Linked DNA regions of Oryzias latipes. The protein of the gene in region 1 purifies or fractionates together with the protein of each later gene. This does not show direct contact. Links are inferred from orthologs where the notes say so. Each region holds a gene or a part of one and is shown in the gene's direction. Other genes may lie near its edges.

Region 1 (4,226 bases):
AAAAACGGTCTTCTGAATGCTTCAACATACCAAGAGACGTGGACAATTCCAAGCCTATGAGGAGAGTCTGGGGAAGGTGGCTTCCTGTGGCAACATGAGCGCATGAGCGCCTGGTTTTGTACAAAAGCAGGGTCCACCAAAGACATGGATCGGATCTGCACAGAGTCCTGACATCAACTCAACACCTTTGGGACGAAATAGAGCAAAACCTATGACCTAAACGGAAAGGTCAAGCATTCCCAATAAGTTTGTAAAAATCTCTCATTTCAGATGTTATAGCTGCAAAGGCAGTTATCTGAAAGGAAGTCACTAATGCACAAAATCAAACAAATGTAAAAGCTAATTTTCCAAACATAACACACCTTTCTGTATTCATTTTTGTGTGATAAGTTCTTTGTTTTTCTTTTAAATTGAAAAATGTTTTTATCATATAAAACACTGTTCTGTGGGCATGAAAATTGCTTTACAAATAAAGTTAGATTTGAATTGAAAAACCAGAAATGTTGGTTTGGCCAAATTTAAAGGGAAAATAAACTGTTTATCAACAACACGAGTTTTTCCATTTAAAACGCAATAGAAGCTTTTATTATTACTCTTGCCTGGTGTAATAATAAAATGTAACTAAATACAATTATTTTTGCATCACGTGTATCTAATATCGATTTAGCATTCAAAGTTGGTAGCCTCGGGAAGAAAGGTTAGTCAAGATAGCTAATCTGGGAGTAAAAGAAGATTAGGAAAGTGTAGGTAATCCACATGTGTTATCTTAACCTAGGTGGTTCAATTTTTAGAGATAGAAACAAACAAACAATACAAATCACACATTTTTATTAATTTGTTTTACCTTAAACTAGCTAACCTCCTCGACTGTTAGCTAACGTTAGCTACCAACTAAACGCTCGTGCCTAAAATCTACGGTCCGATCCAAAGAGGATCGGCTCCCAGCCACAGAACCAAAGCTCCACAATTTTTGGAAACTTTGCGCTTATTTCTATACGTACCTTTGTCTCGTGGTGTTCGGTGATTTGTAGCGTCTCAAACAGAAGAATCAACTCCGAAGGCACACTGCTGACAACATGATCTCATCTCGTGGCCGCTGCTGTGCTACTGCCCTCGATTTTTTGTGTTTACTTCTATCGCCTCGTTTCTCCGTAGAGAGTGAAATTCATCACAATGAATCACAGACCGCCAGTTTGACATACGAAACCGACTTCGAATCGGTTTCCACGCGCAACTTTTTGTGGAAAACGGCCACGAGCCACGAGCACGTACACTGGTTTCTGATCAGTGATTCGGAATCAGTGTGCTTCGAAGGGGCGGGGCTGGAGCTGTGACGTAGCACGTTCAGCCGACGTGCTTCGGGGAAACATGTCGGCGTCCCACACAACGACAAAGGTAGCAACTGCAAAACGGGTTTACGAGCCCTTTTTACGCCTTTCTATTCTATTTTTACATACAAATGCGCATTAGTTTATTGGACATAATGAAACACAAGAATCCCGCATACCGTTAGCGTATTTGTGTATGTATAGATAAGAATTATTGTCTTGTAAGCAGTGTTAGGATGCTAGCAGTGCTAGCATGTAACAGTTATAAATGAGTATTTAGTCAACATTAATTCCTACACTTGACTCCCATTTATGACTATTTGCTACACATTCAACCCTTTAAATATATTTTTTTAATGTTTTAAATTATTCCACTATTTATCACGGAGTTCGTTCTTGTTGTTCTGTACGCTAAGTTCATCGTTTAAAATAGAAAACAAAGTGCACGAAAATTAATTTGTATTTAAGAAATATATATTTTTAAATGATTTTTGTGTTTATATTTGTGTGAAAGAGAAAGCTGGATATCTCTTGTTATGGGCTGGTTGACATGGCAACCGGGAATATAGGAGTTAGCATCGCCGGGAGGTGAAATTTGAAAAGAAAGTCTTAAGTTTTTAGATCAATCTTTTGTGTCATCATTTTTTAAATATAATTGTTAGATGGTATTTAAGTAACTAAAGCAGATTGCCATCCTACATACTTAGTTTTATCCTCAGCAAAGATTTAGGAGTAAAGCATTGATTTATGTGGAGAAAATATTATTATTACTAGTGTTTTTTTCTGGCAACATCAATTGAAAAAAACATTTTTTTTTCAACAAATAGTTTCCTATCAGTGTAAAAAATATGTGTTTTTTTTACTAGCTGTTTTCTCAGAGTCCATCACCTCGTGATAAACTGCAGTAAATGCATGACTTCTTGGGTTATTTTTTCTTTTAATCAGACACGTTTTGTGTTTTTTCACATACCTGACATGTTTTGGCGGCATCTGAGTCGTGATCAGGTGGTGGGGATGTGACAGGTGGAGCAGAGGAAATACTGTTATTTATAATAATGGTATTTCCTCTGCTCCACCTGTCACAACACCACCACCTGATAACGAGTCTGATGAAGGCAGAAGTGATTCCGCCGAAACGTGTCAGGTACATTCAGGAACATAAATATTTGGACATAGACAAATTCTTTCTAATTTAGTTTTTGTACATTACCACAGTGAATTTTAAATAAAACCACTTAGATGCCATTGAAGTGCAGACGTTCAGCTTTTATTCCATGGGTTGAACAAAAAGATTGCATAAAAATGTGAAAAACTAAAGCATTTTTTGAACACAATCCCTTCATTTCATGGGCTAATAAGTTATTGGACAACTGACTTCCATGCTATTGCATGGGCAGGTGTGGGCAATTCCCTTGTTATGTCATTATGAGTGAAGCAGATAAAAGGCCTGGAGTTGATTAGAGGACTCGTGCTTGCATTTTGAAGAGTTTGCTGTGAACAGACAACATGCGGTCAAAGGAGCTCTCCATGCAGGTGAAAGGAGCCATCATTAAGCTGGGAAAACAGAAAAAAACAATGCGAGAAATTGCTACAGTATTAGGAGTGGAAAAATCAACAGTGTGGTACATCCTGAGAAAAAAAGAAAGCACTGGTGAACTCAGTAACGCAAAAAGACCTGGACGGCCACGGAAGACAACAGTGGTGGATGATTGCAGAATCATTTCCATGGTGAAGAAGAACCCGTTCACAACAGCCAACCAAGTGAACAACACTCTCCAGGAGGTAGGCGTATCAATATCCAAGTCTACCATAAAAAGAAGAGTGCATGAAAGTAGATACAGAGGGTACACTGCAAGATGCAAGCCACTCATAATCCTCAAGAATAGGAAGGCTAGATTGGACTTTGCTAAAAAGCATCTAAAAAAGCCAGCACAGTTCTGGAAAAACATTCTTTGGATGAAACCAAAATCAACCTCTAACAGAATGATGGCAAGAGAAAAGTATGGCGAAGGCGTGGAGAAGCTCATGATCCAAAGCTCACTACATCATCAGTAAAACACGATGGAGGCAGTGTGATGGTCTGTGCATGCTTGACTGCTAGTGGCACTGGGACACTAGTGTTTATTGATGACGTGACACAGGACAGTAGCAGCCTAATGAATTCTGAGGTGTTCAGAGACAGACTGTCTGCGCAGATCCAGGTGAATGCAGCCAAACTGATTGGGTGGCGTTTCATAATCCAGATGGACAACGACCCAAAACATACAGCCAAAGCAACTCAGGAGTTTATTAAAGCAAAGAAGTGGAATATTCTTGAATGGCCAAGTCAGTCGCCTGATCTTAACCCAATTGAGCAGCATTTCACTTGTTGAAGACTAAACTTCAGACAGAAAGGCCCACAAACAAACAGCAACTGAAAGCCGCTGCAGTAAAGGCCTGGCAGAACATTCAGAAGGAGAAAATCCAGCATCTCGTGATGTCCATGAGTTCAAGACTTCAGGCTGTCATTGCCAACAAAGGATTTTAAGCCAAATATTAGTAATGACCATTTCATTTGTCCAATTACTTACGAGCCCATGAAAAGAAGGGATCGTGTTTAAAAAATGCTTTAGTTTTTCACATTTTTATGGAGTCTTTTTGTTCAACCCATGGAATAAAAGCTGAAAGTCTGCACTTCAATGGCATCTGAGTTGTTTGATTTAAAATTCACTGTGGTAATTTACAGAAACTAAATTAGAAAAAAATGTGTCTGTGTCCAAATATTTAGGGTCCTGACAAAACACAAACCATGTCTGATAAAAAAAAAATAACCCAAGGAGTCAGTTAATCTTATAGACACAATGAACTTTATTGAATATCCATGGTTTCGGTTTCTGAAAATCTCTTTACTGGTCTTTT
Region 2 (4,123 bases), on another chromosome or scaffold:
TGGAAAAGCAATGCCAAGTCCAGAATATCATGTCATTTTCTGTTGGATTCTTTTTCTATCATGATAAAAACAGAAGTTATAGTAACAGGAATGTGTGCATGTTGTGAGAGACATGTTTCATTTGGAATTAAATTATTGAAAATGATATTTTGTTTATTAAGACAAATGTTTTTCACAGTTGCAAGAGACAGCAAAAATATGTTTTGGTATTTTAAAAAACTACTTTCAAGCATTTTTTCCCCCTTAGTTTTTGTAGATTTGGTTTCAGGAAAATTAAATGTACGTGCAAATGCAAGATTTGGGGATTTTGATTGGGGTGCATTTAAAATTTGATGGCAGGGATGTAAAACGTCCTCCAATTCTGGAATGACCTGTGTGTTTACACACACAAAATACAAAAGACTGAATCAAGTTTGATTCATAAGGTTACCAACTTGACTTTGTATCAAATGCATAATAAAGGAAACCAATAGCCATTAAAACAATTTCACAACAACTTAAACATTCTGGTATTAACTAATGTAAAACTCTAGTGTTGGCCATGTTTCTATTGCTGTGCTTGAGTCTAAACTTTTGATTTTATATATTTAAATATAAAACTCAAAATCACATTTTGTCATTATTGTTTATTATTATCATCATTTTATATGTATTGATTGATTTATTGGGGTTTTAATTTTTCTTCATTTATTTATTTCAGGAAGTAATCCGGTAAAACTTTTTTCATATAATTTTTATTGAACTTCAAACAAACATATACACATAGATACAGATGAAAGAAATAAAAAAGAATAAATTACACATAAAATTATTTTAATAAAAACAATATAAAATAAAAATATAACATTAAAATTGTAGTTTACAATACTAGGGATTGTCATACAACATGTGATCTTCAATGAAAGATAATTGTATTGCGTTTTTTGTTATTTATTATGTTCAGAGATTTAAAATATAAACTGATCTCTTTTTGAAATTTATTGAGTAATGGGTTTGGTTTTTGAAAATCTGCTCTTATGAATGAAAAATTTCCCAGATATTAATAAAGTATTGAATGTCAAATCAAATAGATCATCACCAGAAACTACTCCAAATAATATGATGTGCTTTTGTAATTGAATAAAAATAGGAATAGGAAGTAATCCGCTTCATTTGAGCCGCATTGCTTTATGACTGTTGATACCGCAGGTAGGCGGAGCTTCACATCCGGGTGCTGAAGCTGACCCCTGACGTGACCCTGCAGGATTACAAACATGGCGGAGGTAAGAAAGTCTTATACATTTTCACTAAAATTATTTTCTTCTTGTGGGCGGCTGGTTCAGCCAGATTTACTCACACTCCCCTGCTGTAGCTTTTGAACACGACACGGAACGTCAGCGTTTTGTCTCGCTGGACGGGCGCCATTTTTTGGATCCAGACATGTTTGGTAAACTTTGAGCTTAGCTAACGTTAGCTGCGGCGTTAGCGACTATGTTCCGCGGTTTTTGTTTAAAAATAAATTATCAACAAAGGATTTCGTTTTTTCATAAACATAATTCTAAAAGTTTTTTTAAATAACTGTAATTTACGCGTTTTCTTTTCTTTTTCACCTGAAATCTATAAATAGCGAGCTTAAATTAGGAATGCTTTAGCAAAAAAACGAGTAAAGATTATTTAGCTTGCAAAAATTGTAATTTCAATTAGTATGAATAAAGTTTGTCAGCGCTTATTTCTAGAATATTCCTTATAGTTAAAGATGATGCATTTTTAAATTTTGGAATTTATTATAAATTTATATTTACTTATTTATCATATTTTGTCGGAAAAAGACGTGAAATTTATCGTTTTTTTCTTTTTTGTTGTTTCTGAGGTGTTGTAGGAATTTAATTGTACATTTATATTTTCTTATGCCACTTATATTAAACAAAACCCCGCCACACGAACCTGATTATGTAAAGCTGTTCAGCAGCGAACGGTTTCAGTTTCACATCCCATGAATTATTCATTTTATGCCTGTTTTTTTTTTAACCTTTAATACTTACATTTGAGATTTTTTGGTTTTTAAGATTTTGAGAGAGAGAGAGAGAGAGATTTATTTCGGTAATGTACAAACACAATCCTAAAACGTCAACATAAATGTTGAAGAAAATTTTACCTAAAGCAAATAATCCTCCTAATTTTTTGTTTTTTATTCCCACTTGTTACATGTTTGGCTCTTGTTTTGTTGTCATGTATTTTTTTATTCATGTTGTGTGTATTTCTGTCTTGTATTGTCTCATTCAGTACATCTTTGTGTTATGATGCCTGGATGTGTTCTGTAATGGTTTCATCTGTATTGAACTTTTTTATTTGACTAACTTTTCTTCCTTTTTTTCTCTCTAGCCTTCGCTGGGGAACTCGAGCCCAGGTACACATGGTACTAAATGCTTACACATAATTTGTAGAGGAATTTGTTTAAAAAAATAAAAAGTAAAAGCTGGTTTCCCCATCTTTGTTCTTATTTTAATGGTCTCTAAGGCATACATACATTCTGGGCTGTTTTGTTAATATTTAGGGTTACACAATATTTTGTTATGTCAAATTTCTAAAATTGGTATTATATATTGATAAATGACTTTTTGGTTCAAAAATGCTCCTTTGTTTCCTTTTTTTACTTGCACTTTCCAAGGAGGTTCAGCAGGTTCTGATGACCATGATTTTGACCCCACCGCTGAGATGCTGGTGCATGACTTTGATGATGAACGCACACTGGAGGAGGAAGAAAGGCTGGAGGCGACAGACGACACCAATGTTAATGAGATTGAAGACCTTGCACGGGTTTGTTTTATTTTAAATTGTAAGACCTTTTGCTAAATGTAATGTTATATTTCTGGTGGTATTTATTATAGTTATGAAAACCCTGTTTGTTTGTGTGTTTTTAACCTGATTTTTAAAATTTGTCTTTAATCTAGTGTGATATTTTTAATTGAAATAGTTACTTTTAACTTGTAACTAATAATGGGAATGATATATTATTCATGGATCTGATATATTTTTACATAAACGAACACATTTTCATTTCCCATCATTGTAATGCTGCGTTAACTCCAAACACGATTTGCGTCGGCCGCCTATGTTTGGAAGCGTGGCTTGTGGGAGGAGCTACCACCAAATGTTTTTGGCCTGATTGCTACAGGGAGCGGTGTCTGTGTGCATCTCATTTACGATGCATGGAAGACCCCACTTTGTCAAAGTTCAGAGATTTGAACTCTGGACGCAACACTCAAATGGCGCTGCTGCCGGACCGACGTGCCGCGCCCGATGCCCAAATCGCGCCACAGGGCCTCTGACAGCATTTGAATATTGATTTAACCTTGAAACTGGACGTCTTTATCACACCAATAACGTTTTTCCTCCTGGTCACAACCTTTAGGCTAATTTTAAAATTGAAAAAGTTCAATCTCTCCTAAAGAAAGATAGACAAACAACAAACTTGTTTTTTTCTATAAACTGAGGATTTAATAGATTCACATTGTGTCAGAGGGCAACTTTCATCACCATTCAATGTCTTACTGTGAATCAGTAATAATAGGAAGTGAACTAAACTCAGCTTTATTTTTAATAGGAAGGTGAGATGCCCATACATGAGCTGCTGAGCCTTTATGGCTATGGGGGTAGATCACCAGCAGAGGAGGAAGAGGAGGAGGAGGAAGAGGAGGAGGAAGAACCTGAGGATGAGGACGACGAGGAAGAGGACGAAGAGGAGGATCTTGATAACGATGAAAGCAGCAGAAGCACTGGGGAGCTGAAAAGAACTGAGGTAGTTTTTAGCTGTGGTCTCACTGGTTTGCGGATTTTTTTCAATGCAATTTAGTATGTTTTTTAATTTTTTTTAACAGCAGGTTGTGTCCTGCGTCCTGATTGGCTGTAGGCCTTTGCCAATCAATATCTTCTGTGCCGTGGCTCTATAATCTGTTCAGTTTGCCAAATTTACAATTTTGATCGCGAGCAGATCTCTTTCATTCCAAAATACTGGACTTATTTTTCTTTGAAAGTTTAAACTTTGAGAGTTTAAAAGAGAAAAATGTTAAATGAATAATTATGTCTGTCTTAGTAAAGTGTATAAAGTGTGTAGTGAGGGGTTATACTGCCTATGATTATATTC

What was found.
Region 2: the proteins of ehmt2 (region 1) and mier1 purify together in Homo sapiens (co-immunoprecipitation; 3 studies listed by BioGRID and IntAct, with this or other methods). This does not show direct contact. The link is inferred for Oryzias latipes from reciprocal best matches to the Homo sapiens genes EHMT2 and MIER1.

The regions. Positions count from the first base shown.
Region 1 is NC_019869.2:5,431,786-5,436,011, reverse strand, and holds the start of ehmt2 (histone-lysine N-methyltransferase EHMT2), read left to right. Parts: upstream 1-1,322; 5' UTR 1,323-1,368; coding exon 1,369-1,395; intron 1,396-4,226. UniProt on the Homo sapiens protein: Histone methyltransferase that specifically mono- and dimethylates 'Lys-9' of histone H3 (H3K9me1 and H3K9me2, respectively) in euchromatin.
Region 2 is NC_019875.2:16,593,255-16,597,377, forward strand, and holds the start of mier1 (mesoderm induction early response protein 1), read left to right. Parts: upstream 1-1,223; 5' UTR 1,224-1,253; coding exon 1,254-1,262; intron 1,263-1,298; exon of another isoform or gene 1,299-1,426; intron 1,427-2,361; coding exon 2,362-2,395; intron 2,396-2,647; coding exon 2,648-2,796; intron 2,797-3,583; coding exon 3,584-3,778; intron 3,779-4,123. UniProt on the Homo sapiens protein: Transcriptional repressor regulating the expression of a number of genes including SP1 target genes. Probably functions through recruitment of HDAC1 a histone deacetylase involved in chromatin silencing.